Linked DNA regions of Anolis sagrei. The protein of the gene in region 1 binds, or shares a complex with, the protein of each later gene. Links are inferred from orthologs where the notes say so. Each region holds a gene or a part of one and is shown on either strand. Other genes may lie near its edges. The genes, in order: CDHR5, USH1C, ankyrin repeat and SAM domain-containing protein 4B and CDHR2.

Region 1 (7,934 bases):
TGGAGGAAAAGAAGGAGGAGTTTACTACCCAATTTACAGAAGTAAATCTACACTTAAGTGCAAATATTGACAAGTCCAACCAATTTTCAAAGTTCATTCTACTAATATTATCAATACGCAAGAACTAGGGTTACTAGATTTTAAAAAATGAGATGTCACCATTTGCTGAGTCGAAGAGGAAATTTCAGTCAGTTACCAGGTTACAAAGCAAGGTTACAACAACAACAACATCTGTTATAGAATATGCTGATGACAATGTCATCTGTGCACATTCAGAAGAAGACCTACAAGCCATTCTAAACACCTTCACAGAAGCATACAAGAACCTCAGCCTGTCATTGAGCATCGAGAAAACCAAAGTACTCTTCCCGCAGTCACCAGATAATCCCTCTTCAATGCCAGAAATTCAGCTTAATAGTGTAACATTAGAAAATGTTGACCATTTCCGCTACCTTGGCAGCCACCTCTCCACAAAAGTCAACATTGACAGTGAAATGCAACACCGCCTGAGCTCTGCGAGTGCAGCATTTTTCCGAATGAAGCACAGAGTGTTTGAAGACTGGGACATCTGTAGGGATACCAAGGTGCTTGTTTATAAAGCTATTATCCTCCCAACCCTGCTATATGCCTGCAAGACTTTGACTATCTACAGACATCACATGCAACTCCTAGAATGATTCCATCAGCGTTGCCTCCAAAAAAAATTCTGCAAATCTCTTGGGAAGACAAGTGGACAAATGTCAGCGTGCTGGAAGAAGCAAAGGCCACCAGCATTGAAGCGATGGTCCTCTGTCATCAACTCCACTGGACCGGCCACGTTGTCTGGATGCCCGGCCACCATCTCTCAAAGCAGTTGCTCTACTCTGAACTCAAGAACGGAAAACGGAATGTTTGTGGACAGGAAAAGAGATTTAAAGATGGGCTCAAGGCCAACCTTAAACACTCTGGCATAGACACTGAGAACTGGGAAGCCCTGGCCGTTTAGTGCTCCAGCTGGAGGTCAGCTGTGAGCAGCAGTGCTGTAGAATTTAAAGAGGCACCAATGGAGGGTGAAAGAGAGAAACGTGCCAAGAGGAAGGCACATCAAGCCAACCACAACCAGGACCGCTTTCCACCTGGAAACCAATGCCCTCGCTGCGGGAGAACACGCAGATAAAGAATAGGGCTCCACAGTCACCTATGGACCCACCGCCAGTCCATCGATCCCAGACAACGAGGGATTGCCTAAGTAAGTAAGTTACCAAGTTGCATGACAAGCAATACCTGCTCAAATTCCCTCTTCTCCACAATCCTTATAGGAGCAGAAACTGTTTCCATTTTTCACTCTGATAACACTAAGCTTTTAGGTGTATTTAGACTTTGGCTGGACTGTATCGATCCACTTCATACTGTCTTTATATTCATAGGAACATAAGCAATGGCTTTTCTCGATAAACAGCTAACCACATCTTACTGTGCCATTAATCCCCACTCTGTCATTTACCTCATAATCCACTGAATATTTCAGGATAAGTTGTGAGTCTTTTATGTCAAACCACTCAGGGTTTGTGTCTGATGCCGGGGCAATTGTTACAGTGACACCAGCAGCTGTCGTAATGTTGGTGACCACGACTCCAGGAGCATTGTTCTCCTCAATACTAGGACTGGCATTCTCCACAGAACAGTCTAGTGAAACAAAAGGAAAGATTTCATGTCTCTGGAAGTGCAGTCTAACTCAACAGAATCATTCATATCTGCCAGTATCGACTGACTTAGAATTTTATACTTTAATTTAAAACTAGAGTTTTATACTTTAATTTAATATTTTATTGGCAACAAGTGAGAACCAGTGTGGCATTCTCAGGGCCATCTGTTGGGGGTGGTTTGAATGCAATTTTCCTGTTTCTTGGCAAGGGGTTGGACTGGATGGCCCACAAGGTACCTTCTGTTATTGCAGTTTGAGCGCTGGAGGCTCTGGAGACCAGGTTCAGTTCCCTGTGCAGCTTCTGAAACCCACCTTCAGCCCCAGAAAACCTCATTAAAGGATCACCATAAGTTAGAAACAATTTGGAAGCACACAACAGCAGTAGCAACAACAACAACGTACAAATGCTTTATAGGACATTTCATATAACATGGCAATAAGCAGATATGCAAGAGATACATCCAAATAATAATATTTTATCTGATATCTAGACTGGGGACATGCCAATGTTTGGCCTTTCATCATTCAAAATCTTTTCCTGTGCCTTTATCAAGTATACACCTTTGTAATTTGAGGTACATCTAATCCCATATTAAATTTAGATATTGAATTCCCTATTCCAGACACTATGTAAAATTATTCCCATTCATATTGTTAATTTAGAATTAATTGCCTGAATTAGATAATATTATAAAGTAGAGCATTTTTTAAATTAGTACTAGTACCTGTGTTAATATTATTATTTCTGTTGGCTTGAATCTCTTTACATATTGTCAAAAGTTCATTGTTCTGACAAAAAAAACTTTGCTAGCATATTGGAAACATAATACTGATTCTTCCCCAGGCAAGATCTCTTCTTGAAATATACAATGTATTTTAGTGTTCTTGCTGCGCTTCTGTTCATGCTTATAGAAGAGAAAACTCCACGAAACTCTGTGGGAGTTTAATTTGAAATAAGCATCTATAAGCTAGTGCTACGTATTTAAAGTATATTTAGGTGTCCATTCAGTTTTCTGGTCAATTTATTACAACACCATGAACTTCATAGGGTTTTCTTAGGCGAAAAATACTTAGAGGTGGTTTGCCAATTCCTTCCTTCAAAATATACGCTAACCTAATTCACCTGGTAGTTTTGATAGTCTCCCATCCAAAGACTAACCAGGTCCTGTTTAACTTCCAAGATCAGACAGGATTTGGTGCTTTTAGGCTATTTAGGCAATCCATATATTGAAAATATCTATGCCTTTTGTTCCTCTATGGGTGTATCCAAACAACTATCCCTCTTGTGTTGTTTTTAACAATTAACCCTGAGTCAGTATTTGCTCCTGTCTCCCAGGCATACTTACATGCGCTCTGTCCTTGGACATGAAGTACAGATACCAAGACAAAGACCATACAGGTGCAGAGCTGAATGAAAAGAGCCATCACACTGGTGGAGGGAGGGGAGGAATCCAAAATCTAAGAAAAGCGGTCTTCATTTATTATCATCATGAATCGTCCTTTCACTCTTCCATCAGGAAGTACCGTAATGCTGCAAATAGTACTTTGCTAACAGAGGAGTTTAACCTTTGCATCTTGGTTTATTGACTCACTTATTTATGACTTATTTACCATCACTCATCAGTGACTGGCTCAGTGGAAAGTACTTTGTCTTACCTTGGAGACTGGGTTGTTCTTACATTGCAGAGGCAGTCCCTGCCCAGAGTGAGTAGCTGCCTTGGGCTACGTATTTTGGGTATCATGGAAGGGTGATAGAGGTTCATTGTGTTTTGCTGAAACAAAAAGATATGGTTATGCGGTGTGTGGTTTGCCTTGGTTGGGCAGGATGCATTTTGGCTTTGGTAAGTGAGAGATACCATTTGCAGTTCTGACTTGGGCAGAAAAATATCTTGAAACTATCACCACTTCAAATGTCTACTTAGTCCACTGCATTCAGGGAGACTTACCATATATACACATACCTCACATGTAAGTCAAAGGCAAGTTTGGGGGCCAAAATTATGGCCAGAAAGCGCCCGTGCCTGCTTGGAACTGAGTGCCTCTCTTCTAGTGTAGAAACAGGTAAGAAGTTTCCTTAAGGTATGCACCTGCATGCAGCTGAGCACCTTTCCTCTAGAGTAATGTCTAAAATGACAGGAGGGGGAGCCTGGGAAGCCCCCCCCCCAATAATGGGCTGATAGAAAACAGATCTTTCAGCACCCCGAGCGAAAACAAATATCTGCCCTCCTGATTTCGGGAAGCTCCCAAAAACTGATCGGGGCCGCCACTGAAAGCCAGGACACGAAACGAGTCAAGATTTACCCTGAAAGCACAACCCTACTTACTATTATTTATTTATTTATTTACTGCGCTTATATACCGCAATTCTCAGCCCCCAAGGGCGACTCATTGCGGTGTACAACATGACAAAAACAAGTGCAATCTACAGAGCATAGTGCAAAACAGTGTACAATTCATCATAATCATAAAAACATCTTAACAAAATTATTACTACATTCCGAATCGTCTCATCGTCAAGCCACAATCCGATCTCATTTCCGGTGTTCCATTCCTATGGTCAATTGCCAGTCATTGCACTATTGATCAAATGCCTTCTTAAATAGCCAGGTCTTTAGCTTCCTGCGGAATATTAGCAGGGAGGGGGCTAGCCTGATGTCCACGGGAAGGGTGTTCCACAGCCGAGGAGCCGCCACCGAGAAGGCCCTATCTCTCGTCCCCACCAGCCGTGCCTGTGAGGCAGGTGGAATCGAGAGCAGGGCCTCCCCGGAAGATCTCAAAGTCTTCGAGGGCTCATAGGCCGAGAGGCGGTCAGTTAGGTATTTTGGGCCGGAACCATTTAGGGCTTTATAGGCCAATGCCAGCACCTTGAATTGAGCTCGGTAGCAGATCGGCAGCCAGTGGAGCTGGTACAGCAGGGGGGTTGTATGCTCCCTACATCCCGCTCCTGTTAGTGTCATGGCTGCCGCACGTTGGACCAGTTGGAGCTTCCGGGCCGTCTTCAAAGGCAACCCCACGTAGAGAGCGTTGCAGTAGTCTAAGCGGGATGTAACCAGAGCGTGGACTACCGTGGCCAAGTCAGACTTCCCAAGATACGGGCGCAGCTGGCGCACAAGCCTAAGCTGTGCGAATGCTCCCCTGGTCACCACCGAGACCTGGGGCTCCAGGCTCAGCGATGAATCCAGGATCACACCCAAGCTGCGAACCTGCGCCTTCAAGGGGAGTGCGACCCCATCCAGCACAGGCTGTAACCCTATACCCTAGGGATAACAGGCATAATAGATTGATTACTTTGAAGACGTATGACAAACTTTTCATTCTGATGACAACTGCAGCAAGAATTGTATGTCTTTGGAAGTGGAAACCTAGAAGAAACTCCAAAAATGAAAGAATGGATAGTAAAAGTAGCTGAAATAGTGGAAATCAACATTTTGACAAAATAGCTTCAAATAAAGGATCCTTCAATGTTCAAGAAAGTCTGGGAACCCTTCAAAACATTTCCTGGAAGTAATGTTTAAAATTTTAGTCTATTACATTATATTTTACACAATGAACTGGATAATATGGAAACAATAAACATTCTTGTGTATATGAAAAAGAGGATATGTAAAAATTGGATGATATATTTCAATTTTTTTAAAAAAAAGAAATTTGGGAAGGTTTTAAGTCCCCAGCTGAGCCCTGGGATTTAAGAATTATTAATAACAATGAATAAAAATCTGGGCATGAACTGAGTGGTTTCACCACATTCACCTGTAAAGTTAGTGCAAATAATTTCCAGCAAAAAGACAAAACTCTTGGAGATAAAGGTTTTGGCATTTTTTTCCACTTCAAAAGTTCAGGATTGGTTTTTCAAAATTCTGATGCAGAAGTTATAATGAATGTCTTTTATATGTATGTATTTATTTACTATATTTGTATACCCCCCCTTCTCAGCCCTCAGGCGACTCAATTATAAAATATTATATATACCATCAGTCATTAGACCAGGGGTCCTCAAACTTTTTAAACAGAGGGCCAGGTCACAGTCCCTCAAACTGTTGGAGGGCCGGATTATAATTTTTTAAAAAAATGAATGAATTCCTACGCACACTGCACATATCTTATTTGTAGTGCAAAAAACACTTAAAACAATACAGTAATTAAAATGAAGAACAATTTTAACAAATATAAAATTATTAGTATTTCAATGGGAAGTGTGGACCCACTTTTGGCTGATGAGATAGGAATTGCTGTTGTTGTTGTTGTTATGTGCTTTCGAGTCGTTTCAGACTTAGGCTGACTCTGAGCAAGGGCCGGGTAAATGATCTTAGAGTTTGAGGACCCCTGCATTAGACAGTGTGTAGCCATGAAAAAAATCACTGGGTTTCTTAATTTCTTTAGTTATGATGTGGATGTGATTCTGCTTTTCTGTAGTTTCGTTTTATTTTAAAAAATAAATTTTCTTGGATGGAAATCTAAATCTGTGTCTAAATTGCAAAATTAAATAACTACAAAATGCTTTGAAATTATGGAATGAGGTGTTTGTGGGGGAAAGAAAAAGCTTCTCCAGAAAGGCTCTCAGAATAGTATATAAAGGTCATTTGGATTGCTGCTTTGATCTCTCACTGTGGCAGAAAATCCCCTTCCCTTGGAGATTCCACATTCCTCATAGCAAATGTTTTTCCTGAGATAAATGCTCTCAGTATTTTGTAGTTGCACTTTAACTTGTGGCAACCCCTGTTATAGCCTACGCCTGTTACTTTCATACTGTGCCAACATCTTAAAGTTTTGGAGCACATGTTGAATGTTTCTTAATGTAACCCACATTGGCAGTCAACTGTAACCTTCCCAACCTGACATCCCCCAGATGTGGTTTGACTGCAGTCCCCGTCACTCTCAGCCAGCATGGTTACTGGCCTCATGGTTACTGGCCTGCTCAACTGGATAATAGGCACTTGAGTCCAATGCATCTGGAAGGTGCCCAAGATTTGGAAGGGTGCAAACCAAGTTATGATAGACTGATACTGTTATGGAGTATTTGCATTCATCCAGTTCAGTGTAGTGGTTTGAATGCTTAATCCGTTGTTGTTGTTGTTTAGTCAAAATTATTAACTATTTGTATACAAGATGGCTCAAAATCCCAGACCCCAAACTACTTTCTCACCTGCAGGGAAAAATTATTCATCACATTTTTCTGTGAGTGAGAGAAAGCAGCTGGGTGAAAACAAGTTTTGAAAGATAAAGGAAGGCTTTATTTGCATTTCCTGCTTTCCAGCACTCTGTGAAGTGAGATACACTGTGAAGTTTGGACCCAAGTCACTACTTGATTGATACTGCAGTGATGAACTAATGAAAATGCAAGTGGCTGTGCCTAAAATTAGACTATTGAAGCCCTCTAGTGGGTGGTTGCTTGCAGTGCGTCCATGTCTCTATATAGGTCTAATATTTTCCACAAAATCCAAGTCCAGACCACCTTGAAAGTCTCAAATGACCCTCATCTGGGACATCTCTGTAGGATTGATCTAATCCCTATGTAAATGTCAGATGGTATAATAAAATCATACAATTTGAAGAGGCCACAAGGGTCATGCAATCCAGCCCCCTGCCATACAGGAACCCACAATCAAAGCACTCCAAACAGATGGCCAGCTAGCCTCTGCTTAAAAACCTCATAAAAGGGGACTCCACCAGACCTGGGATGACATATTCCATTGCTGAACAGTTCTTCTTATCATCAGAGAGTTCTTCCTAATGTTTAGCTGGAATCTCTTTCCCTGCAATTTGAGCACATTGCTCTGTGTCCTAGTCTCCAGAGCAACAGAAAACTAGTTTGTCCTCTCCTCAATGTGACATCCTTTCACATATTTAAACATGGCACTATCATGTCTCCTCCCAGATTTCTTTTCTCCAAAGCGAAACATACCCAGCTCCTTAAGCTGCTCCTCATAGGGCTTGGTTTCCAAATTTTTGAGCATTTTAGTTGCCCGAGTCACATTTCAGCTTGTTAATATCCTTCTTGAACTATAGTGCCCAGAACTAAACACAATATTCCAGGTGAGATCTGACCAAAGCAGAATAGAGTAGTTCTATTATTTCATTTGACATAGGCACTATGTTCCTATTGATGCAGTTTAGAATTATATAGGGTTTTTTTAGCTGCCACATCATACTGTTGACTCATGTTTAGCTTGTAGTCTACTCCTTATCACATTGAGAAATTTCCCCCTCGTAGGACACTTCAGCCTCTTTTCAAACATGGAGAGGTACAGAA
Region 2 (7,933 bases), about 7.4 Mb from region 1:
TTAAGGCATTGCTAGCTCCATTGACTGATGTTTCTAGTTACTTTGGGCAACAAATGACCTAGTTTTAATTCTGTTTTGTCTGAGATACCAGGCTGTCTAATTACTTAGAAATGTATTTGCAGGTGATACAACTCAGTTTGAGTTGTCTTGAGTTTTTTCACTTTGAGATTTTAATGAAAACAGAGGACTAATCATGCAGATTCAATCACTATTTAATGTGTTACTTTACTGATGCTACAGCTTTTATTTATTTGTTTATAAAAATTGTACCCCAACTTTCTCTTAAAGTGAGATACAAAATGGCTTATCTTCAGTGCTGTTTAATATTAATTTAGTCCTAGTAGCTTCCTAGCATCAAGAAGCCAATAAAGCAAGATTTTGAATAGTTTTTTTTCCCTTTGAAGAGCCAGCTTTTTCCATTTATTGGGACTGTGGGGAGAATAGAAGTCTATGTGAATCTTATCAGCATAAAAGGCCACAGGTACAAGGTACAAGACCATAAATATTACGTTAGATACATATGCCAGCTGTCTGTCTGCTGTTGCCCATCCCAATGTTGATAGTTAACAGGTATAAATGTTATAATCATACAACTATGCCCAGTTTTTATTAGAATCATAGCATTGGAAGAGACCTCGTTGGCCATCCAGTCCAACCTGCTGCCAAGAAGCAGAAAAATTGCATTCATAGCAATATTAGTTTTAAAATTGGTGAAAACTAGCTTAATAGTCTTAATATCTATTTTTACAACAGCTTTTCCCTTTCAAGGAATTTTCAGAAATTTGTCTTTAATATTTGATAAGTTTCAGTCTAAGTTATAGAAGACTTAAAGATTAGTGTAACTTTTATCTGTTGTGTTAGAGAGGTCCAATCTAAAAACCAGAATGGAACTCCACTGAACGCAATTAAATGGGGGAAATAAAGATCAAGATTCCAAAGAAGAGGAGACACCAAAATCCAGTTTACCAAAACCAAAGTAATCTAAACACACCTTCAGGATAAAATTCTGTTGATTAATTTTTGTAAATGATCAAATAAACATTGTATAACAGCAACAATGGGGTTATATGGATGGTCTTCATACATTATATGAAGAATGAGGCACAAATATCTGAAGACTCAGCATGGTGGAATGGTTTGAGCATTGGACTACAACCCTGGAGATCAGAGTTCAAATTCTGAGTCACCTATGGAAACCACACTGGGTTTTTTTAATGTCAGGAGCAAATCGAGCCCCCGGAGGCGTAATGGGTTACACCTCCAGCTGGCAGGACTGCTGACCTAAAGGTCAGCGGTTCGAATCCAGGGAGTGGGTTGAGCTCCTGTCTGTGAGCTCCAGCTTCTCATGCGGGAACATGAGAGAAGCCTCCCACAGGATGTTAAAACATCTGGGTGACCACATTGGGTGACTTTGAGGAAGTCACTCTCTCTCAGCCTCAGAGGCAGGCAAAAACAAGCCCTCTCTGAACAAATATTTCAAAGGAACCCCCCCCTCCCATAGGTTAGTCTTGGGGGCACCATAATCCAGGAAGGACCTGTTACACAACAACAACAACAACAACAACAACAACAGGTATTAGATCATTTTTTATAAGGTATACAAGCCTGGAAAACCTGTAGGAGGTGTGCAGACAAATGTTGATCGGTTTTGCATATTCAAACAAGCTGGAACAGCCTTCCACACTCAACAACTTTTATCTCTGATGTGAAACCGAAAAGGGAGCTTTTTGTAAATGAAACCCATTATTAATGCACCACTGACTGAACCTCTGAAAGACAGTTTCCATTTGACTTTGCGGCACTGATAAAAAGAAATAGGTTCAAACCATGTTGCAAGAATATGCCTGTATCATACCCTTGAGTCCAAACTTCCTCATCTCACCCTGTTGACTTGCAACTCTTAGATTCACTTCTTTTAAAAACAAAAACAAAAGAACTATTATATAATAGAAGCTTCTTTGCAACGTCCCTTGGTCCCTGACAGAGAGAGAGAGAGAAAGAGGAAAGGAGGGATAGTGTTTATTTTGGTTTTTGAGTCCCCTGGGGGAGAGAAAGCGGGCTATAAATGAATTATTATTATTATTTGAAACACAAGATGAGTCCACAGCAAACAAAATCATTCTGTGGGCTGCTGTATTGGATCACATGTCAGACACTTCCCAAGTGTCTAGGACTGTGTGATGTATCGGCGAATAATGTGTGCAGATCCCAGTAGGGTAGCAGATGGTAATTTTGCCAGTGTCAATTGTGTTTAAGTGCAGGCCGAGGTCTTTAGGCACTGCACCTAGTGTGCCGATCACCACTGGGACCACCTTTATCGGTTTGTGCCAGAGTCTTTGCAGTTCAATCTTTAAATCCTCATTATTATTGTTGTTATTGTTATTAAATTTTCTTTTTTGTATACAATTGCTCACAGGGAACATTATTTTTGAGGGAGCAAACTTTCCCAAAAGTTCCAAAACTTTGAAGTTTGCTTCTTCCTTTTCTCTGCTTGGCGCTCAGGTGGAATCCAGGTGCCCTTTAAGAGAAAGTGGACCCGAATTCCCACCTGCCCGGGGGAAAAAAGAAAAGAAAAGATGGGTGGATGGGTGGGTGGCAAGAGTGAGGCCAATGCCTCCCTCGGAGGTGCGCCTCGCCGCCTGACCTGCCGGGGAGAAGCGCTTCCTTCCCTGCCCCCTCCCCCCTCCCCCCTCCCCCTCCCCCCCGCAAAGGCCGAGTTAATTGATACCCAGAGTCCAGAGTCCCGCAAAATGTCCCCCGCGCAGCCGACCCAGAGCTAGAGAAAGTGACTCCAAGCTGAGGAGCCAAAGCCGCGGGGGTCCCTTGGCAGGCAAGAAGCAAGCAAGCGGGGAAAGGCGAGGGCGGCCCTCTTCTTTCTTACCTTGTGCCTGAACTCCCTGGCCACCTTGCGCTCCATGGCAATGAATGGGGGAGAGCGAGAGCGACTGCCTCTGAGCTCTTCGCCTTGGCCAGCCTGCGCGCCTGCCTTCCTTCCCTTCCTTCCTTCCTTCCTTTCTCGGCTCAGGTCGGGCGCGCAGAGCTCGGAGTCACCGCCAGAGGGCGCAGCGCAGGGAGGAAGGCAAGGAAAGGGGAGGCAAGGCAAGAGGTTGGGTTCCTTGCAGGGCGGGCTGGCCAGGTGTCACCTTCCCTGTGATAGGAGTCCCCGGTGGTCCAAGAAAGGGCTCAAGGCTGTGAGGAATTGTGGGAATTGAAGTCCAAAACACCAGGAGGGCCTAAATTTGCCCATGCCTGTTGTAGATGCTGGTACACAGACAAATACACACATGGGAGCCAGGCTTCAGCCCCCCCCCCCCGAAATTCTCATGGTGGTCCGTGAGAAGGCCTTACTGGTGCATTATTTAAACTGTTATGTTTATTCATATCATGATCTGATCACCATGCTCAATATATCCCATATGCATGGAGGTATTGGGGTAACGAAACAAAAGGTTTGCTAGGCTAGACCCTCTTTCACTCAGACTCAGCCCCCCCCCCCCCCCCCCCGAATCAAAATCCTGGCTACCGGCCTGATGGGAGCAGTGGTGCACTGGGTCTAAAATATTGGTTACCAGGAGAGCAGTCCCAAAACTATAAGGCTATCATTGAATATATGGCTATCAATGAATGATTTTTTTAAATACATCAGTGGAAAAAAGGTACAATTAAACTTTGCGAAATAAATGTATATTTTTAGTAATTACAGTGCACATAATCCAGTGGATACTTAATGTATATGCCGGATTGTTATATTAAATTTTTAATAATGTTTAATTTGAAATAAATGTTGGATTGTCTCATGTTTAAGGGACCACTTCTCATCATCAGGCAAGCTTTGTGTGCGTGTGTGTGTGTGTGTCAGGAGCGACTGAAGAGGCTGCAAGTCTGGTGTGAGAGAATTGGCTGTCTGCAAGGACGTTGCCCAGGGGACTCCTGGATGTTTTATCATCCTTGATAAAACTTCCACATGATTAAAAACTCAAATATAACAATCTGCATTTACATTAAGTATCTACTGGATTGTGTGCCCTGTAATTATTATTATTTTTGGTCGTGTCAGGAGTGACTTGAGAAACTGCAAGTTGCTTCTGGTGTGAGAGAATTGGCCATCTGCAAGGACGTTGCCCAGGGGACGCCCGGATGTTTTGATGTGTTACCATCCTTATGGGAGGCTTCTCTCATGTCCCCATATGAGGAGATGGAGCTGACAGAGGGAGCTCATCTACGCTCTCCCCGGATTCAAACCTGTGACCTGTTGGTCTTCAGTCCTGCCGGCACAGGGGTTTAACCCACTGTGCCACTGGGGGTCCACTGTAATTATTAAAAATATACTGTAATTATTAAAAATATACGTTTATTTTGCATAATTTTACTTGTGCCTTTTTCCCATTGAAGTATTTTTTTAAAAATCCATTCATGGATGACTATGTTTAAACCAAGAGTGGGGATGCTATATGACACTTTACATGACCAAGTATACCTAAAAAGAAAATGGAAACAATACACTGAAGAACTATATAAAAGAGATGAAAGGATAGCAGGTTCATTCAAGAAAAAATGATTAGAAAATTAAGTGGAAGCTGCAGTAAGAGTACTTGGGAGAAATAAATCATCAGGAACAGGTAGCATATCAACAGAGCCCACATACTGGAAATAATCAAAATGATTTACAATTTTCAAGAAAGGGGAAACCAATGATTGCAGTAACCATTTCATAGATTGTAAAAAAAAAAGCCTTTGGGGGGTATATGTGTATTCTTTATTATTATCATTATTTTTAATTGCATAATTGTATTTTTAAAAATTAATTTGTCCAGGTGAAAGATACAGATCTGGTGAAAACAACAACAACAAAAACCCACTTCAGGATCTAATTGTGATAACTCCATTTGCTGTATCTTTCTGCATTGTTTTCTTAATTTTTATATCATTTAAAATGATTCTATACTTTTTAAAGTTAGTGATGTTTTGATATGGTACCTTATTTAATTGTTTTTATGGTTTTAGTTTGTTTTACCCTTCCTTTAAATTGCCTAGTCCCAAGTTAGAAGTATTTTTGAATGATGATGATGATGATGATGATGATGATGATGATGATGATGGAAGTTCACAATTCATTGTCATGTGAAGACTATAAAATATATCACCTTCATTGCACTGGCTGTCTATTTGCTTCTGAACTCAGTTTAAGATATTATTATTATTAATAATAATAATAATCTTTCTTTATAACCTGCCACAGTTTCCCCAAGGGGACTCGGAGTGGCTTACAAAGGTACTCCAAGGTGCAGCATATAACATAAATGGTATATGACTATAAGACACTCGCTGGAACGCCTCAGCAAGCGAGAGTCCAAAAGTGGCAGGCTCAAACCTAGAACCTCAACCAACGGCTGATACCAAATGAGAGATTCCCCCCTGGGTACACAGAGGACTGGGCGACTTGGAAGGCGCTGAACAGACTGCGCTCTGGCACCAGGAGATGCAGAGCCAACCTTCAGAAATGGGGCTACAAAGTGGAATCCTCGACATGCGAGTGCGGAGAGGAGCAAACCACAGACCACCTGCTGCAATGCAACCTGAGCCCTGCCACATGCACAATGGAGGACCTCCTTGCAACAACACCAGAAGCACTCCAAGTGGCCAGATACTGGTCAAAGGACATTTAATCAACTACCAAACTCACACATTTTGTATTTTCTCTATTTGTTTGCTTTGTTCTGTTAGAAATGTAATATAATTGACTGGCTGCCCTGACACGAGAAATAAAACTATAAAGCAATATCACATAGAAATTATAAAACAACCACCACAAAAGATTAGGACCAGAGATAACAGTGAAGTTGAAGTGGGAGAAATTCAGGACAGATAAAAGCTTTTTTAAAAACCCCGATTATATTCATAATATACATATGTATATCATTCATTCAACTATTTCCCCCACAAATATTAAACAAGTAAAATACCCTAAAATACATAAAACATATAAATAAGAATTCATAAACTTATTTTCCTCACGAATATTATAATCAAATATATTCCTCTATACAACTAAAGAACGATAAAACAAATCGTACAATAGAATATTATCCTCATGAATATTAAGCAAGAATTATCTATTACATAGCACATATGATTCTGAGTACAGTTTGAGTCTCCATTGCAGTATCTCCAAATCAGTCTTGCCAAAAACCAGCAGGCAACTATCATATATGTCTATGCACCAAAACCAGATGCCAGCAAAGACATCAAAGAACAATTCTGCTGTCAGCGGGATATCATCCTATGAGACATACCTAAGGAGAAGAAAATAACCCATTTTCCATACGAATATTAACAACTAATACAGTTTATACTTCAACTGGCAGCAATCTTTCTAGAACTGGCCTGTCAGATTGTTATTCAACATCCTTTGAGAAACCACCAACCCACCCACCAGTGCACTACATTACTAGCTTCACGCCCATCAATTGAGGTTGCATCACTCATATAAAGATATAGACCAGAAGACATAGGGAAATCCAACAATATAGAGCACTTTAAAAGAGGATTAGAGATATTCATGGAGAATAAGGCTAACAAAGGTCACAATCGATATATTACAGCCATGACCAGTGGCACTATGATTCTGAGTACAGTTTGAGTCTCCATTGCAATATCTCCAAATCAGTCTTGCCAAAAACCAGCAGGCAACTATCATATATGTCTATCCACCAAAACCAGATGCCAGCAAAGACATCAAAGAACAATTCCGCTGTCGGCGGGATATCATCCTATGAGACATACCTAAGGAGAAGAAAATCATCCTCCTGGGTGATTTATACACAAGAGTTGGGCGAGATTTCGGCCTGTGGCCAGGAACTATATGGAAAGCCAGGGTTGGAGCAGTAACCCAAATGACACTTTACTTCTCACTAAATGTGCAGAACACAATTTTATCATCACCGACACACTCTCTCACTGGAAAAACAAGTTTAAAACATCATGGAACACCCCTCTGGAAATATTTCTGCTGATGTTTGAGGTATCTTCCTCAGATTATCCACTATTAGTTAGCCACTCCTGTTCTTTTGGCTGCTGCTCTTTTTCCTTTGCAGGTAATACCTGGAAATCAGGAAAATAATTTCTACCTGATGGGACATGTTATTTAAAAAAATGTAGTTCTTTCATGCTATCTCCTAATGAGCTACTCCTGATATTTTGGCTGCTGCCTTTAGTCTGCATTCAGACTGAATCAAAGCTTAGGTGATTCACAGAGGAAATATTTCCAGGGAGCTAGCAAGGTTAATCTATTATGCTGAGTTCTGTAGTACCAAAAAGACTAATAAATGTGATTCATGGCATAAACTTTCATAGATTTCAGCCAAATGAGATTTAGATAATCAAGCTTTACCGGGAAAAGGAATGCCAATCTGTAACTTCCAAGTTTCTCTTACAATGCAAATGCAATATAATATGTTTGACCTTTTAGGGGGCTACATCAATGTCGGGGGGGGGGGGGGGGAGGGCATGAGAATTTACTCTCTCTTCTAATTTTGATTTTCCCATTAGTATTTACAGCAGAAGAGCATTCTTGATGAGGACGTCATTGCTGTTTCACCATCTTACTGAAGTGAATTACTTGTTATGGCTAGAAATACAATACATGGGCACTAATTACAAAGAGGGGAATGAGATCTTTTTAATTACTTACTGTTAACAGACTTCCTAAAGCAGTTTGAAAAAAGACTCTTTTAATCTGACACTATTTCTCACCTGCCATTGGCAGCTTTTAAAGCTTCTGTTACAAGATAGCTGAAAGATGAAGTGAAAGAGACAGGGGGTCAGGGAGTGAGAGTGAGGGGCAGAAAAGAAGGAAAGGAGATAAATAGGCAGAGGAACAAAAAGAGAGAAGGTTCACACAGAATGAAGGAAAGCAGGAAAGGATAGAGAATTA
Region 3 (7,790 bases), on another chromosome or scaffold:
CGCTGTTTAAAGGTCACATTTATTGGCTGTAAATGATGGCATATAAAACCGCATGCCACACCTAAAAGCTAGAAACAAAGCAATATATTTATTTTATGTTTACCTGAAGTCCAAATGGTTTTCACCATATTACTTTTAGTATTGCCCAAAGGCCAGTGATAGAAAATAACAAATGAAAAGTGATTAAAACTAGAAATTTTATTGTGAAAGCAGGACATTTAATTTTATTTATTTACATTCAGTCAGCCCTTTGTACGTATGGATTAGCATCCAGGGATATTGCCACTCTGGGTTTGAAAATATATATTTTTAAAAATTCAAGAAGCAAAGTTTGATTTTGCCATTTTATCTCAAGGACACTATTTTATTATGCGATTGTATATAATAGGACTTTGGTATTTATGGATTTTGGTTTCCATGGGGAGTTCTGGAACTAAACCCCAGTGGATATTATTAGATTATTAGTATTGTATAGCCACATGTACTAGAGTAAAGGTTTCCTTTGACATTAAGTCTAGTTGAGTCTGACTCAGGGAGGTGGTGCTCATCTCCATTTCTCAGCCAAAGAGCCAGCTTTGTCCATAGACACCTCCAACATAATTGCATGGGAGTGCTGTTACCTTCACGACAAAGCAGAACCTATTGATCTACTCATATTTGCATGTTTTCGAACTGCTAGGTTGGCAGAAGCTGGGGCTAGCAACAGGAGCTCACCCTGTCCCACAGATTTGAACTTTTGGCAAGTTTGGCAGCTTAGTGGTTCAACCCGTTGCACCACCACGGCCCTTCACGTGTCCTATAGTGGAGTCTTATTTTAAGAGATATTATATCGGAAATGGATAAAATACCACAGGAAAAAAATAGAGAGTGAGAAAATACACATGCAGACATACACATTTTTTCAAGGCTGTGCTCTTGCCCTGAGATTCTTCCCATCTGAGAAGTAAAGAGGAGGACCTGAGACTTGGGCACACTCTATCTGAATTATTCTAATTATTTTTAAAGTTCTCTATACATACAAATTAGCTTGTGTATGTTTTATGTCAATTAGTATCATACGTCTGTAAATGGCTGATCTAAAAGGAATGGTTTTCTGAGTCCCAAGTTCTAATCTAGACGCTTTCGTTTTAAACTGGCATGTTATTGAATGAGTTTTAATCCGTCTTACTCTTATGTCTACATCTTTTAATATATGTGTTTTTAATGGTTTTCTGTTTTTATGAGGCCACAGTAGCACAGCAGGTTGAACCGTTAGCTGCAGGAAAGCTGTCGACTGGAAAGTTGGTAGTTCAAAGCTGTGAGTCAGGGTGAGCTCTCAACTGTCAGCCCTAGCTCCTGCCAACCTAGCAGTTCAAAAGCATGTAATGCGAGTAATCAATTGGTACCGCCTCGGCGGGAAGGTAAAATGGTGCCTCATTCACATTGCAGATATGCCAGTAACACAATCGGAGATGTCCATGGACAACAGGCTCCTTGGCATGGAAAAATGGTACAATAGCACCTTCCCATGGCTGGAGTTGAGCATTGCCTCCAGACACCAGAGATAGAAAAATGGGAAGCCCTTTATCTTTGTGTTGTATGTTGCTGTTCAGTATGTAGAAAAAGGCAGGATATAAATAAAGTGTATTATTATTATTATTATTATTATTATTATTATTATTATTAGAAACACAACAAGATGAGTCCACAGCAGACACCCTGCTAGCTGTTGTATTGGATCACACGTCTAACACTTCCCAAGTGTCTAGGACTGTGTGATGTATTGGCGAATAATGCGCGCAGATCCCAGTAAGGTGGCCTTCTGCAGCTGGCAGATGGTAATTTTGTCAGCGCCAATTGTGTTTAAGTGCAGGCCAAGGTCTTTAGGCACTGTACCCAGTGTGCCAATCACCACTGGGACCACCTTGACTGGCTTTGCCAGAGTCTTTGCAGTTCCATCTTTAAATCCTTGTATCATGTCAGCTTTTCCAGTTGTTTATCTTCAATCCTGCTGTCACCTGGGACTGCAACATTGACAATCCATACTTTGATTATTATTATTATTATTATTATTATGGTTATTATTGTTATCAATCACCTCAAACCTTGAGAAATGGGTAAGAAATTCAATATATCATCATCAACATCATCATCAAAGCTACACAGAACTCCTATTAAGTACAAAGCAATATGTTGTCTATTTCCTTCTTCCAGCCATGTTTTGGGTGTGGACTGCCCTTGGCTCTCTTTCCTGGATCAACTTTGACACAGATTGATTGGCATCAGAAATGTAGGTTTTTCAGGCTATATGGCCATGTTCTAGAAGCATTCTCTCCTGACGTTTCGCCTGCATCTAAGGCAAGCATCCTCAGATTAGTGCATGATTGTACACCAGGCATGGGCAAACTTGGTCCTTCCAGGTGTTATGGACTTCATCTCCCATAATTCCTAACAGCCTCAGCCCCCTTCCTTTCCCCCCTCAGCCACTTAAGCAGAAAAGGAAAGGGAAAAAGAAAAGGAAAGGGCCCGAGACTGTCCAGAATTGTGGGAGTTGAAACCCAAAACACCTGGAGGGCCAAAGTTTGCCCATGTCTGGTGTACAATCATGCACTAATCTGAGGATGCTTGCCATATATGCAGGCGAAACGTCAGGAGAGAATGCTTCTAGAACATAGCCATATAGCCCAAAAACCTACAACAATCCAGTGATTCCAGCCATGAAAGCCTTGGACAATACACACACTAATCATTTCAAGTACCTACTGCAATTTTGTGACACTTCTCTACTAATGAAATCTTTAATTGTTTTAAGGGGCTATACATTTTTGAGGGTATATCAAATTTATTCTCCCTAAATTATAAGCTAAGGACACCCTACATTTGCAGTCACAATATGTTGTGATCTGTCCATAGGCTGACGGTACTTACCCTCTTCGGCAAATGATTTCCAGAGCGTCCAGATTGCCATGATAGGCCACCAGCAGAGTTGGAGTCATCCCATCCATATCGGAAGTGTTCAGATCTTTTCTGGTGGCTTCCTTCAGCAATTCCAGGTTGCCATCGGCAGCTGCATGGTGGTACCGGGTGGACATTGTGTTCCCCTTTCCAGGCTGATTCCTTTCACACTGTGCAATGCGACACACACTACACTGCTTCTCATCAGAGGGATGGTTAATTAATAATCCCTGACGAAGTCATCAGCTCCAACAAAACACAAACGAAGAAGCAAAGGTCACTCCCAGCTATGGCTTACGCTCTGCAGGAAAGCAATATATTGTCTCAGCTTTAATGTATGCTACTATGTCATCGACTCATATCAGCCAGCACGTCAATGACTTAAATCTAGAAATTGTTTTCTAAGATCTACAGAGACACTCGCTGGAACACCTCAGCAAGCAAGAGTCCAAAAGTGGCAGGCTCAAACCCAGAACCTCAACCAATGGCTGATACCAAATGAGAGACTCCCCCTGGGCACACAGAAAACTGGGCGACTTGCAAGGCGCTGAACAGACTGCGCTCTGGCACCACGAGATGCAGAGCCAACCTTCAGAAATGGGGCCACAAAGTGGAATCCACGACATGCGAGTGTGGAGAAGAGCAAACCACTGACCACCTACTGCAATGAACCCTGAGCCCTGCCACATGCACAATGGAGGACCTTCTTGCGGCAACACCAGAGGCACTCCAAGTGGCCAGATACTGGTCAAAGGACATTTAATCAACTACCAAACTCGCAAATTTTGTATTTTGTCTGTCTGTTTGTTTGTTTTGTTCTGTTAGAAATGTAATACAATTGACTGGTTGCCCTGACACAACAAATAAATAAATCAACTCATAGAGTTGGAAGAGATCCCAAGGGCCATCCAGTCCAGCCCTTATCTGCCAGGGAGGAAAAGCACAATCAAAGCACCCCCAACAGAGCCATTCAGACTCTGCTTAAAAACCTTCAACTCGCTTTTATTTGTTCATGTATTCAGTATGCATAAATAATATAGTTTGTTTATAGTCATCTCTACTATCTCACCCATAGGAAAATGCAAAAGATATGGGTTAACTACATTTCCCATCATGCTAGGTCAATACCCCCCAAACCGCACCAGCATTTTAAATTGGTCAGGATGGGTACATATGCCAAGCTTAGTCCACGTTCATCATCAGTGGGGTTCACAGTGCTCTTCACATATGGGTGAACTATAACTCCCCAAATCCTCTGTCATTGCTCCCCAAACCCTGATAGTACTTAAAGCTGGTCATGATGGGTATGTGTGTCACATTTAATCCAAGTCCATCATGGGTTATGATCTGAATGCTCTTTGATTGTGTGTGAACTATAACTCCCATCATTCTTTGCTATTGCCACCCACTAAACCCTGTCAATATTTAAAGTTGGTCATGATGGATATGTTTGGTCCAGATCTATCATAGATGGGGTTCACGGTGCTCTCTGGAAGTTCCTTCAGGGTGAACTGCAATCCCCATCGTCCAGGGTACATCTCCTCCCCAGCCCCCAACCTCCCCAGCCTCCAGTATTTTATTTTGGTCATTGCGGGATGGGTGGGTTTGCCAAGTTCGGTCCAGATTCGTAGTTGGTGGGAGTTGTAATGGTCTCTGGAAGTGGGGACCATCTTGAAAGATACATACAAACGCACATATACATACATACATAGATAGATAGATAGACAGACAGACAGACAGACAGACAGGAAAATAGACAGACATTTTAATAGTTTTGTGTTTAATCCCTCTGTATGAATCATGTAGTATTACGCTTCAAACTTCAAGGAGAGGCGAGTAATAAGTTCTTCACCACCACCACCACCACCACCACCACCACCATCATCATCATTATACTGCAAGTCACATACTTACAAAAAGCACTGCTTCACTATCAAACAAAAAGTGGGTGCTAGAAATAATGTCATACGGAAGCTGACTGGCACAACCTGGGGATCACAACCATAAACATTGAAGACATCTGCCCTTGCGCTTTGCTACTCTGCTGCAGAATACGCATACCAAGTGTGTAATACATATCACCATGTTAAAAGAAGTGGATGTGGCTCTTAATGAGACATGCCACATTATCACAGGATGTCTAAGCCCTACACCACTGGAAAAATTATACTGTTTAGCCAGTATTGCACCACCTGATATCTGTCAGGAAGTAGCAGTCTGTAATGAAAAGACCAAGGCATTGACATCTCTGGCCCATCCTTTGTTTGGATATCAGCCAGCAAGCCAACACCTTAAATCAAGAAATTATTTTCTAAGATCTCCAGAGATGCTCGCAAGCACACCTCAGCAAGCAAGAGTCCAAAAGTGGCAGGCTAAAAACCCAGAACCGCAATCTGTGGCTGATACTAAATGCGAGACTCCCTCCTGAGCACACAGAAGACTGGGCAACATGGAAGGTGCTGAACAGACTGTGCTCGCGGGCCATGAGATGTAGAGCCAACCTTCAGAAATGGGGTTACAAAGTGGAGTCCATGACATGCGAGTGTGGAGAAGAGCAAACCACAGATCACATACTACAATGCAACCTGTGTCCTGCCACATGCACAATAAGGACCTTCTTACAGCACAGCACAGCCACTTGACATGGCCAGCTTCTGGTTTTTTATTCATTATAACTGTATTCTCAATTCGCTTCTGACATGATGAATAAATCATCATGATGATCTATGGCACTGATTCTCAACCTTTGGGTCTCCAGGTATTTTGGCTTACAACTCGCAGAAATCCCATCTGGGGACCCACAGGTTGTGAACCACTGGTCTATGTCATATTTGACAAAGTATGCATCATCAGTTCAACGCCTCTCGTTCCCTTTTTGGCAAATCTGGAAAACCCATTTTCCCAGTCTGCATGAATCATAGAATCATAGAGTTGGAAGAGACCTCATTGGCCATCCAATCCAACCCCATTTGGCCAAGAAGCAGGAAAACTGCATTCAAAGCACCCCCGACAGATGGCCACACAGCCTCTGTTCAAAAGCTTCCAAAGAAGGAGCCTCCACCACATTCCGGGGCAGAGAGTTCCACTGCTGAACATTGGTCTTGCTAGCTGGGGGTTTCTGGGAGCTGTAATTAAGAAGCAAGCATCCTGGCTCTGCTCTTCAAACCAAGTCATTCAACCTGTTTACTTGTTTCACAGCTAAATATAAAATTATTCAGAGACTAATTGGATTGTTTAATTAGACACGAAAACCTCAAATGCCCTGACTTAAATGACTGTCTGAGACATTTTACATAATGTTTGGGAAGGCACAAGATCTCCCGAAATTAAAGCCTGAGGCTCAAATCACACTAAACTAAGGATATCATTTTGAGCCATGAAAATAAAAAAAGGATTTTTTTTGGTCTGTATCCTGTGTCACCACTCAATTGACAGAGTCACTAACAGAAGGAACAAATTCAAAAAAGCAAATACAAGGAGGAAGGGAAAAGCTTAATTAGTTTAATGGTTGTTTCTGTCAATTGGTTGAGAAAAGCTCACCCCAGATCCCCTTTCAGTATTTTATTAGCCCTTCTGATCAAGCAGAGGGAGAGGAATGCTGCTTGAATGGGAGCCTTTTTGTCCCTTCTTTCGAAAGCGTTGAACCAGAAGCAGGGCGGCTTGCCTAGAATGCATCCTTCCTTTCTCTCTTGTCTTCCCTGAAAAGATGTTCCAAGGTGCGAATCACTCCATTCTCAAAAGGGAAGGCGAAAAAGGCGATTCATTAGGATAAATGGACAAAGGTTTGAAATGGCACTTGATCTTTCTGAATTTTGTTGGCTCCAGGCCTGACAACTCAATACATAAATTGGTTTCTGCAGACGCAAATCACACTGTGTTTCACTGATTTGCCCCTCTAGATTTGTAGCCAAACCTTTTTTTTAATGGAGAGATTTGAGGATGTTTGGCTAATGAGTGCTTTGGATCATCCAAATGATGACTCACTGGCTGGCAGGTCCGGATTGCGGTTGCCTAGACAATTACGTTTTCTGAAAATATCGCTGTCCAAACTGAGTTGTTGTAGGTTTTTTCGGGCTATATGGCCATGGTCTAGAGGTATTCTAGCCCGTATCTAGGTGGTCAGTTGAAACATTCACACCTAGCTCCAGCAGACAGGAGTCCTTTGTCTCACCCTGGTCATTCCACAGATATATAAATCCCTTTTCCTACTTCCAACAGACCTCACTACCTCTGAGGATGCTTGCCATAGATGCAGACGAAACATCAGGAGAGAATGCCTCTAGACCATGGCCATATAGCCCGAAAAAACCTACAACAACCCAGTGATTCCAGTCATGAAAGCCTTCGAAGAAGAGAGTTCTCTGCACCCAAATGTGCCTGTTTATTGCCTAGCCCCAGGCATGTAGCCAGGGGGGGGGGGGCTTGGGGAGCTTCAGCCCCCCCCCCCCCGAAATTCTCATGGTGGTCCGCGGGAAGGCCTTACTGGTACATTATTTAAACTGTTATGTTTATTCATATCATGATCTGATCACCATGCTCAATATATCCCATATGCATGCGGGTATTGGGATGATACAAAAGGTTTGCTAGGGTAGACCCTCTTTCACTCAGACTCAGCCCCCCCGAACCAAACTCAGCCCCCCCAAACCAAACTCAGCCCCCCCCCCCCGAAACAAAATCCTGGCTACGGGCCTGCCTAGCCCATATGTAGACTTTTGTCCTGCTGTCTTAACTTTTGCTTTACGGGAACAGTGAGCTCTACTGTATGTGTGCCTTTGAGGTCCCATCTACACTGCCATATAATCTAGTTTCTGATTCCAGATTATCTGTTTTGAACTGGATAATATGGCAGTGTT
Region 4 (7,148 bases), on another chromosome or scaffold:
CTGTGGGTTTCAGCCTGACCGTTAAAGGAGCTATCCATTGTGCTGAAATCTTTCCCCAGAAACAGTTTCAATTATGTTAGATGGCTTCTACAGTTTAGACTCAAACCCAAAATAATGTCAACACCCCACTGACATGCACTGCGCTGTGCTCTTTGAAGTACAAGGACAGCTCTTGTCCAAGCAGTAGTCATACATGTACCTTCCTTAGGATGTAACAAAAATGTTGTTGCACATTTCTGTTTAGGTAGTTGGAATTCCACTAGGTGATTTTGGGTAAGTCATACTCTTCCTGCCTGAGAGGACTAGATAAATATTGCCAAGACAAACCCTAGGAGAAGGTCACCACAGATCAGGGTTGGCATGAAGGCATATAAGAAGAAGTAAAGATTCTAGCTAACCCAAGCAGGAAATAGAAAAACAAGCATTCTTTATCTGTCATTTTGGAGAATATGGTTACCTTATATCAAAGTAGTCAACAAGAACTCATTCATATTCTATTTGCTTCTTCTTTCTTTTATAGTTTTATTTTCCTCTCTCTCATTTTTTCTGTTTCTCCTCTTCACAATCATTTTTAAAAATCAAATTAAAAATTAAACTCAAATAGAAACCATATCATGTGTTATTTCCAAATAAATAGTCTTAGGGTGTAACCTAAATGGAAAAAAAATCTTAATATAATTGCATGCATTGGGTTTTCCCTCCTATTTCACTCTGAGGCCAAAGGTTCTGACTTTTACATAACATTGACATTTCCCAACGGCTTTCTTCCTTGTCAGCCTGCATACCAGTTGGAATAATCAATGATGACCCATTTGCTCTAAAGTTAATATGTGCATTGTTGCTGTTGGCATTTCAATGTCACAGAACACTCTCTAGGGGAAAACATTGGCTTGGTTACAGTCATCATAGAGCTTGGAAAAGTTTCTTTTTGGGGCTATAGATCCCGGAATGCCACATATTCACAATCAGTGTGACCAGCTGTAGTTGGGAGGGGGGGGGGGGGGATGTTACCTTTTTAAAGCTCTGATCCATCCTGTTTATGTAGAATTGTTTTCTTGTTGTTTTGCTGACACTTTCTACAGCAGCAGGAGTGACGGCAAATTTATGCAAATCTTTAATTCATTTAAGGGTACATCTCCACTATAGAATTAATGCAATTTGACCTCACTTTAACTGCCATGGTTCAGCGCTATGGAATTATGGGAGTTGTAGTTTTAGAAGTTCTTTAGCTTGCCCTGCCAGAGCGTGTAGGTGGCTCACCAAACTATGGATTCCAGGATTCCAAGATATTGAACCATGGTAGTGAAAGAAGTGTTCGACTGTATTAATTCTACAATGTAGATCCAGCCTTAATCACAGGAATGATAAGTGTGAAGATGTTGCAGCATGAGAATTCAGTAGTAAGCTCTTTGAGAACCTGGTAGTCAACCAACCATAGATGTGAGGAGCACCCCTCTGAACCTACATACATACAAAACAATTGCAGAATACTGGAGAGAAATAACAGCATTAACATACATAAAAGCATATGTTATATCTTGGTTATGCACACATGCAGGTGACTCAAATGTGTCACAAACTTATTATACTCAGGTGGCTCCAAAGTAGCACCTGCTGCACAGAAGAGAGAGACAAAAAAGGGAAAGAGGAACATTTCTCCAATTCTTTGGGTACGTATATTTTAATAAATAAATGAAACTTGAGGAAATTGCTACTGGTAACTGTGGGATCTTCATGTATGGATAAAGCTGGCCCTATCATTAGGCAGAGTGAAAGGGCAACCCGAGGCAGCAAATTTTGGATGTCATAAAAGGTCAGCAAATTGTTAGCAAATTAAATTGCCATTAGTCTGTTTTACTGCCAATGTGATGAGAGTTTGTGTGATCTTCTGTCTCATATGTCATAATAACATGGTTTGCTTGGGGTAATATACGCCTTGCATGGCTGTAGGAACCATGATGTTTTGAACCGTCAAACCATTTTTAATTGAATTCTTATAATTGTTTTAATTGTGTTAATTGTAACTGTGATTTTTAATATATTGTTTTTGGCATCTAATGGCTGCCTGTTGTAAACTGTCCTGAGTCCCTCTTTGGAGGTGAGAAGTACGGGATATAAATGCTTGAAATAAATAAATAAATAAATAAATAAATAAATATATTTGCTCCAGGTAGCAAAATGTTGGCCATGGTACACAGTGGTTATAAGAATAGAAGTGAATAGTTATTCACAGGGGCCAATAAAGTGGTATACTGCATTTTAAATGTGGAAGACATAGTACACAGAACCTTAAGTATCTCACTTACGCCTAACAGAGCTTGGTAAATTTACTTTTTGGACTCTAATGTTCAGAATCCTCTAGTCACCATGATTCCTGTTAGTTGATGCAATGAGTTGTTAGGTAAAGCAATCTCATTTACAATCATATTTCCTAGTAACGTAACCAAAGGTGAGAACATTATAGCCCTCTGGACATATTTGAACTGCAACTTTGAGATGCATTCGCCAGCATAGCTACTTGTGACCCATGCTAGCAGTTGCAAACCTGCCCAGCCATATGGTTTCTACCTCTGTTGTAAACCAGCCTTGTTTAATGTTTCAAGGGACTATGGTGCCTTCATAACTGATATGTCTTGCCATCTTTCTTTTCTAGCAAGGAAGGGATGGAATCACAGCCAACCCTGTAGTTTTAGGGAAAAGCAAACTGTTGCAGCTTTTCCTAGGTTGTATGCTCTTCTGTTATGTGATGTCAGCATCTGCAAGAACCACAGCTTCAGAGTCCAGAGTGTCTAGCTTCCCAGAAGGCTGAATGAGACATAGATGGGATGAAGGCAAGATCAAAGATTTATTCTCAATGGCCAGAGAGGTTGTCAGCAGAGAAAACACTGACATCCCATAATTGCGAACACAGAGCACATGTATTTCATTTGACAACTATTTAAGATACCTGTACAAACTCCTATTTGGCTCAAAAACTGTCCAACTAGGATACACTTCATAATTAGTCTGGGATTCCCTTAGACGTCATTGCTGGTTCATCTTCATTGTGTTGGGAAACTCAAATTGTCACTGGATTATTTTGAAGAGTCTGTCCATTTATTGATTTACCTCTGAGATAGGAGTGATTGGAAAAAAAGCCATTTTGCAGTCAATAATGCCTTAGCTCTGATAGGTACAATAGAATTAGTCTAAGGTAAACAATGGGTGCTTTAGGTTGATGAACATCTCAGTGGGTGTCACAAGGGTGAGTCTGGCTGGGGGCATGGGAGAGGAACCATTCCCAGTAATAGCCCAGATTGTATCAGGAAACAGGAAAAGGATCCAGTAGCTGTGATGCAAACCCATTGTGAGTCCCACCCCCAAAACCTTCCAGTTTACTGTAAAAGGATTATGGTAATTTGGGGCATTGTTTACTGGAGTCTGTGGTGTGGTGAAGCAACTTTCCAAAGAAATGTATGAAGGGCTATTGCAGGGCGAAATGGAAAAGATAAAGTGGGCATGCTGTATATCTCCATGGTACTGAGCCTCATAATTAATATTTTTTTTGGGAGGGGGGGGGATCTGATTATTTTGATAACACTTGCTTGTTAATAACTTTTGCTTTCTTGACTACACCCTTATGTTGCTTTGTCTTGCATGTCCTATTTTTCATATGTGAATTTTGGAAAATATATAATAACATTTAGGATAATCTGGAATGAACTCTAAACATCAACAAAGGCAGCAAGAAGAATATTTGCCATGCGATCACTGCAAAATGTCTCTCTTGAATCCTAGCATACTTCCTCCATTGGTAGGGATGCTCCTGCCTTGTTATTGCTGGTCACAGTGAGAGGAGTGACAATACATTTTCTGGCCCAAACAACACATCATTGAGCTGGCACAACCTCTCTCCCTTTCTCTGGCCTAACTCATCTTCTGCCTCAGTGGAGACAGCACAATCCTCATTTGTTACTGTAAGTAGGTCATTGGGGAGGCTGCAGCCACTTTCCTTCCCCCAAACACACACATACATACACACATACTGAGATCCTGTCTGATGAATCCTTTTACTTGTCAATTACTTCAGTGCAAAGTCAAAGGCACAAACCGGCAGCGCAAGCAAAAGGCCTCATCCGCCCTTCCAGGCTACAGGCAGCCCTCCCTGGCCTCACCAGATTTTCCCCCAAAACAAGGCCTGGGCATGAAAGGGACCATGAGGCAGGAGAATCAAACGCAGGAACCTGGGGTAAGATAGCTTTTCCTCCTGCCGGTCTCATGGTAAAGCTGTCATCTTGGCAACCAGAAATTCAAGAGATGCAATGTTTATGTGGAAGTACAACCAAGTAGAAAGGGCTCTCTTATGAATATCTGCATGCCAAGCAGTGGTGGAAAGGCACATAGAAGCAAACCAGTTGACAAACCAAGATAGTGTCAACATATGGAATAACTCCTACCTTTGTTCAGAAATGTTACAGGATGTGAATGAGGGTTTAAAGTAGGGTGGGGGAAGGTGCTGCTTTCCAGATATTTGGACCATAGCTTTGGAAAGGTTAGACAGAAAATACATTTCAATAATATCTGAAGGGCTACCTGATTTCCACCCCTGTTTTAAATGGCTACCTTGGGCTTTTACTCACATTCCTTGGCTGGGAGATCTGGGATACAAAGTGGCAGGTTGAGGAGAGAGCAATAAGAGGGATACAAAGGCAGCTCAGGGGGGAAAGCATACCCTCCAATATTTCACAGATAAAAACCAGAACACATCTTGCCAAGCAACATCAGAGTGTGGTCAAGATGCAAAATGTATCAGTTAGTAAAGCACACAAGATAGGAAGATGCTGCAGCACTTTTCCTTTGCCTGAACCTGCTGGGAAGGGTGAAATTACACCTTTCTGCCCGAGTCAGTTAATTACTATCTTTGTACTTTGAACTCAGTTTACCTCAACTGAAGAAAGCTGAGGACAAAGGAAAGAAGTGGGAGAAGGAGAGCGGGACTGGCATGCTTTAAGAACAGCTGAAAGGATGACAGAGGATTAATCAGGGGTCTGTTTTCCAAATTGAAATAGTTGCAGGATACAGAAAAGGAATCTCTGCAGAAAGTCCTGCCTAAATTGGTGTTTCCATTGAAGGGGCACTTTATGATCCTCTATAGTTGATTGCATGTGGTTGAAATGGTATGTAGGGTGAAATAATTCACATTGGGTGCATCTACACTTTCAAATGCAGTTTGACACTACTTTTAACTGCCATGGCTCATGGGAATCATGCAAAAGGCAAGGTTTTTGGCCTTTTCTGCCAAATAGTTCTGATGCCTCACCAATTGCAGCGCACCCAAATACCTGGGAGTCACTCTGGACCATGCTCTGACCTATAAGAAGCACTGCCTGAACGTCAAGCAAAAAGTGGGTGCTAGAAACAATATCATACGAAAGCTGACTGGCACAACCTGGGGATCACAACCAAACACAGTGAAGACATCCACCCTTGTGCTATGCTACTCTGCTGCTGAGTATGCATGCCCAGTGTGGAACACATCTCACCACACTAAAATATTGGATGTGGCTCTTAATGAGACATGCCGCATTATCACGGAGTGTCTGAACCCTACACCACTGGAGAAATTACACTGCTTAGCCAGTATTGCACCACTTGACATCCACCGGGAAGTAGCAGCCAATAGTGAAAGGACCAAGGCAGAGACATCTCCAGCTCATCCCTTGTTTGGGAATCAGCCAGCATGTCAACGACTTAAATCAAGAAATAGTTTTCTAAGATCTACAGAGACACTCGCTGAAACACCCCAGCAAGTGAGAGCCCAAAAGTGGCAGGCTCAAACCCAGAGCCTCAATCAATGGCTGATACCCAATAAGAGACTCCCTCCTGGGCACACAGAAGACTGGGCGACTTGGAAGGCGCTGAACAGATTGCACTCTGGCACCACGAGATGCAGAGCCAACCTTAAGAAATGGGGCTACAAAAGTGGAATCCTCGACATGTGAATGTGGAAAGGAGCAAACCACTGACCACCTGCTGCAATGCAACCTGAGCCCTGCTACATGCACAGTGGAGGACCTTCTTGCGGCAACACCAGAAGCACTCCAAATGGCCAGATACTGGTCAAAGGACATTTAATCAACACCAAGCTTGTCTTTTGTATGTTTGTTTGTTTGTTCTGTCAAAAATTTAATACAACTGTTTGGTTGCCTGACACGATAAATAAATACCAAACTATAGTTCCCATGCTTCCATAGCATTGAGCCATCACAGTTAAAGTGTTGTAAAACTGCATTATTTTGACAGTGTAGATGTACCTCTCTTCTCCATAGTCCACAACCCATGTAGATCCTCTTAAGTTTAGTAACCTGGCACAGCAATCTGTCATGTTTATTGCACTACCAATCCCGTAATTCCCAGCCAGTGCAGCTGGCTAAGGATAGCACCTCTAACCATGATCCTAATTGCTTTCAGTAGATCTGTCCATATTTCTCTTAAATTGAGACAGAATGTTACCAAAGCAACCAATATAACTATTGATTCATGTTTGTCACATAGGCTGGGTTGGCTACAGGTCCACAATCTGACAACTGGACTGCTGTTTAAGATGAGAGATAGAGCTGAGAAGGACCTGAGATGTGAAAAGCCATTGGGAATGGAGGCTGAATGGTGCCAGCGGTTTGGAGATTCCCTTCCAGGACACCTGCAAAGACCTGTTTTGGAACTGACACCTGCCCAAGCAACCTCAGGCAGGAAAAAGAAAAAGAGGAAGAGTCCTGTTCAAGGAGGTTGGGCCAAAGTCCTCACCCTCTAATTTCAGTTAATAATTGATCAGCTTATTCAAGACAGGAGCCAAAGTCTGAAGGAAGTATTCAGACCTCCAGTGTCTATCACAGACTCAAGTGGCATTTCCATGATCCCGTACGAGATGAGGTAAGGGGTAAACTCAGCTGTCTCTATCCATGTTGTGCTGTGATGACCAAGGGAGGGAAGGAGGGAGAGAGGGAGGGAGGGAATGAACCATGGGATTTATTTATTTATGTATTTATTTTGTATCAAAAGCATTCCACAAATTAGTATAAAACTAATAAAAATAGAAGGAACGCAGGCAGCTAAATATCTTTTGACCAAAAACGGGCAACAGCAATGACATTGTCTGTAGCCTCCAACAA

Evidence for each region.
Region 2: CDHR5 (region 1) and USH1C share a complex: the UniProt entries of both Homo sapiens proteins name them as parts of the IMAC/intermicrovillar adhesion complex. The link is inferred for Anolis sagrei from reciprocal best matches to the Homo sapiens genes CDHR5 and USH1C.
Region 3: CDHR5 (region 1) and ankyrin repeat and SAM domain-containing protein 4B share a complex: the UniProt entries of both Homo sapiens proteins name them as parts of the IMAC/intermicrovillar adhesion complex. The link is inferred for Anolis sagrei from reciprocal best matches to the Homo sapiens genes CDHR5 and ANKS4B.
Region 4: CDHR5 (region 1) and CDHR2 share a complex: the UniProt entries of both Homo sapiens proteins name them as parts of the IMAC/intermicrovillar adhesion complex. The link is inferred for Anolis sagrei from reciprocal best matches to the Homo sapiens genes CDHR5 and CDHR2.

The regions. Positions count from the first base shown.
Region 1 is NC_090021.1:240,588,283-240,596,216, forward strand, and holds the start of CDHR5 (cadherin-related family member 5), read right to left. Parts: upstream 3,110-7,934; coding exon 3,031-3,109; intron 1,666-3,030; coding exon 1,484-1,665; intron 1-1,483. UniProt on the Homo sapiens protein: Intermicrovillar adhesion molecule that forms, via its extracellular domain, calcium-dependent heterophilic complexes with CDHR2 on adjacent microvilli. Thereby, controls the packing of microvilli at the apical membrane of epithelial cells.
Region 2 is NC_090021.1:247,950,114-247,958,046, reverse strand, and holds the start of USH1C (harmonin), read right to left. Parts: upstream 3,056-7,933; 5' UTR 2,918-3,055; coding exon 2,882-2,917; intron 1-2,881. UniProt on the Homo sapiens protein: Anchoring/scaffolding protein that is a part of the functional network formed by USH1C, USH1G, CDH23 and MYO7A that mediates mechanotransduction in cochlear hair cells. Required for normal development and maintenance of cochlear hair cell bundles.
Region 3 is NC_090034.1:16,409,625-16,417,414, forward strand, and holds the start of ankyrin repeat and SAM domain-containing protein 4B, read right to left. Parts: upstream 3,113-7,790; 5' UTR 3,072-3,112; coding exon 2,908-3,071; intron 1-2,907. UniProt on the Homo sapiens protein: As part of the intermicrovillar adhesion complex/IMAC plays a role in epithelial brush border differentiation, controlling microvilli organization and length. Plays a role in assembly of the complex.
Region 4 is NC_090022.1:78,164,506-78,171,653, reverse strand, and holds the start of CDHR2 (cadherin-related family member 2), read left to right. Parts: upstream 1-4,010; 5' UTR 4,011-4,228; intron 4,229-6,534; 5' UTR 6,535-6,889; coding exon 6,890-6,909; intron 6,910-7,148. UniProt on the Homo sapiens protein: Intermicrovillar adhesion molecule that forms, via its extracellular domain, calcium-dependent heterophilic complexes with CDHR5 on adjacent microvilli. Thereby, controls the packing of microvilli at the apical membrane of epithelial cells.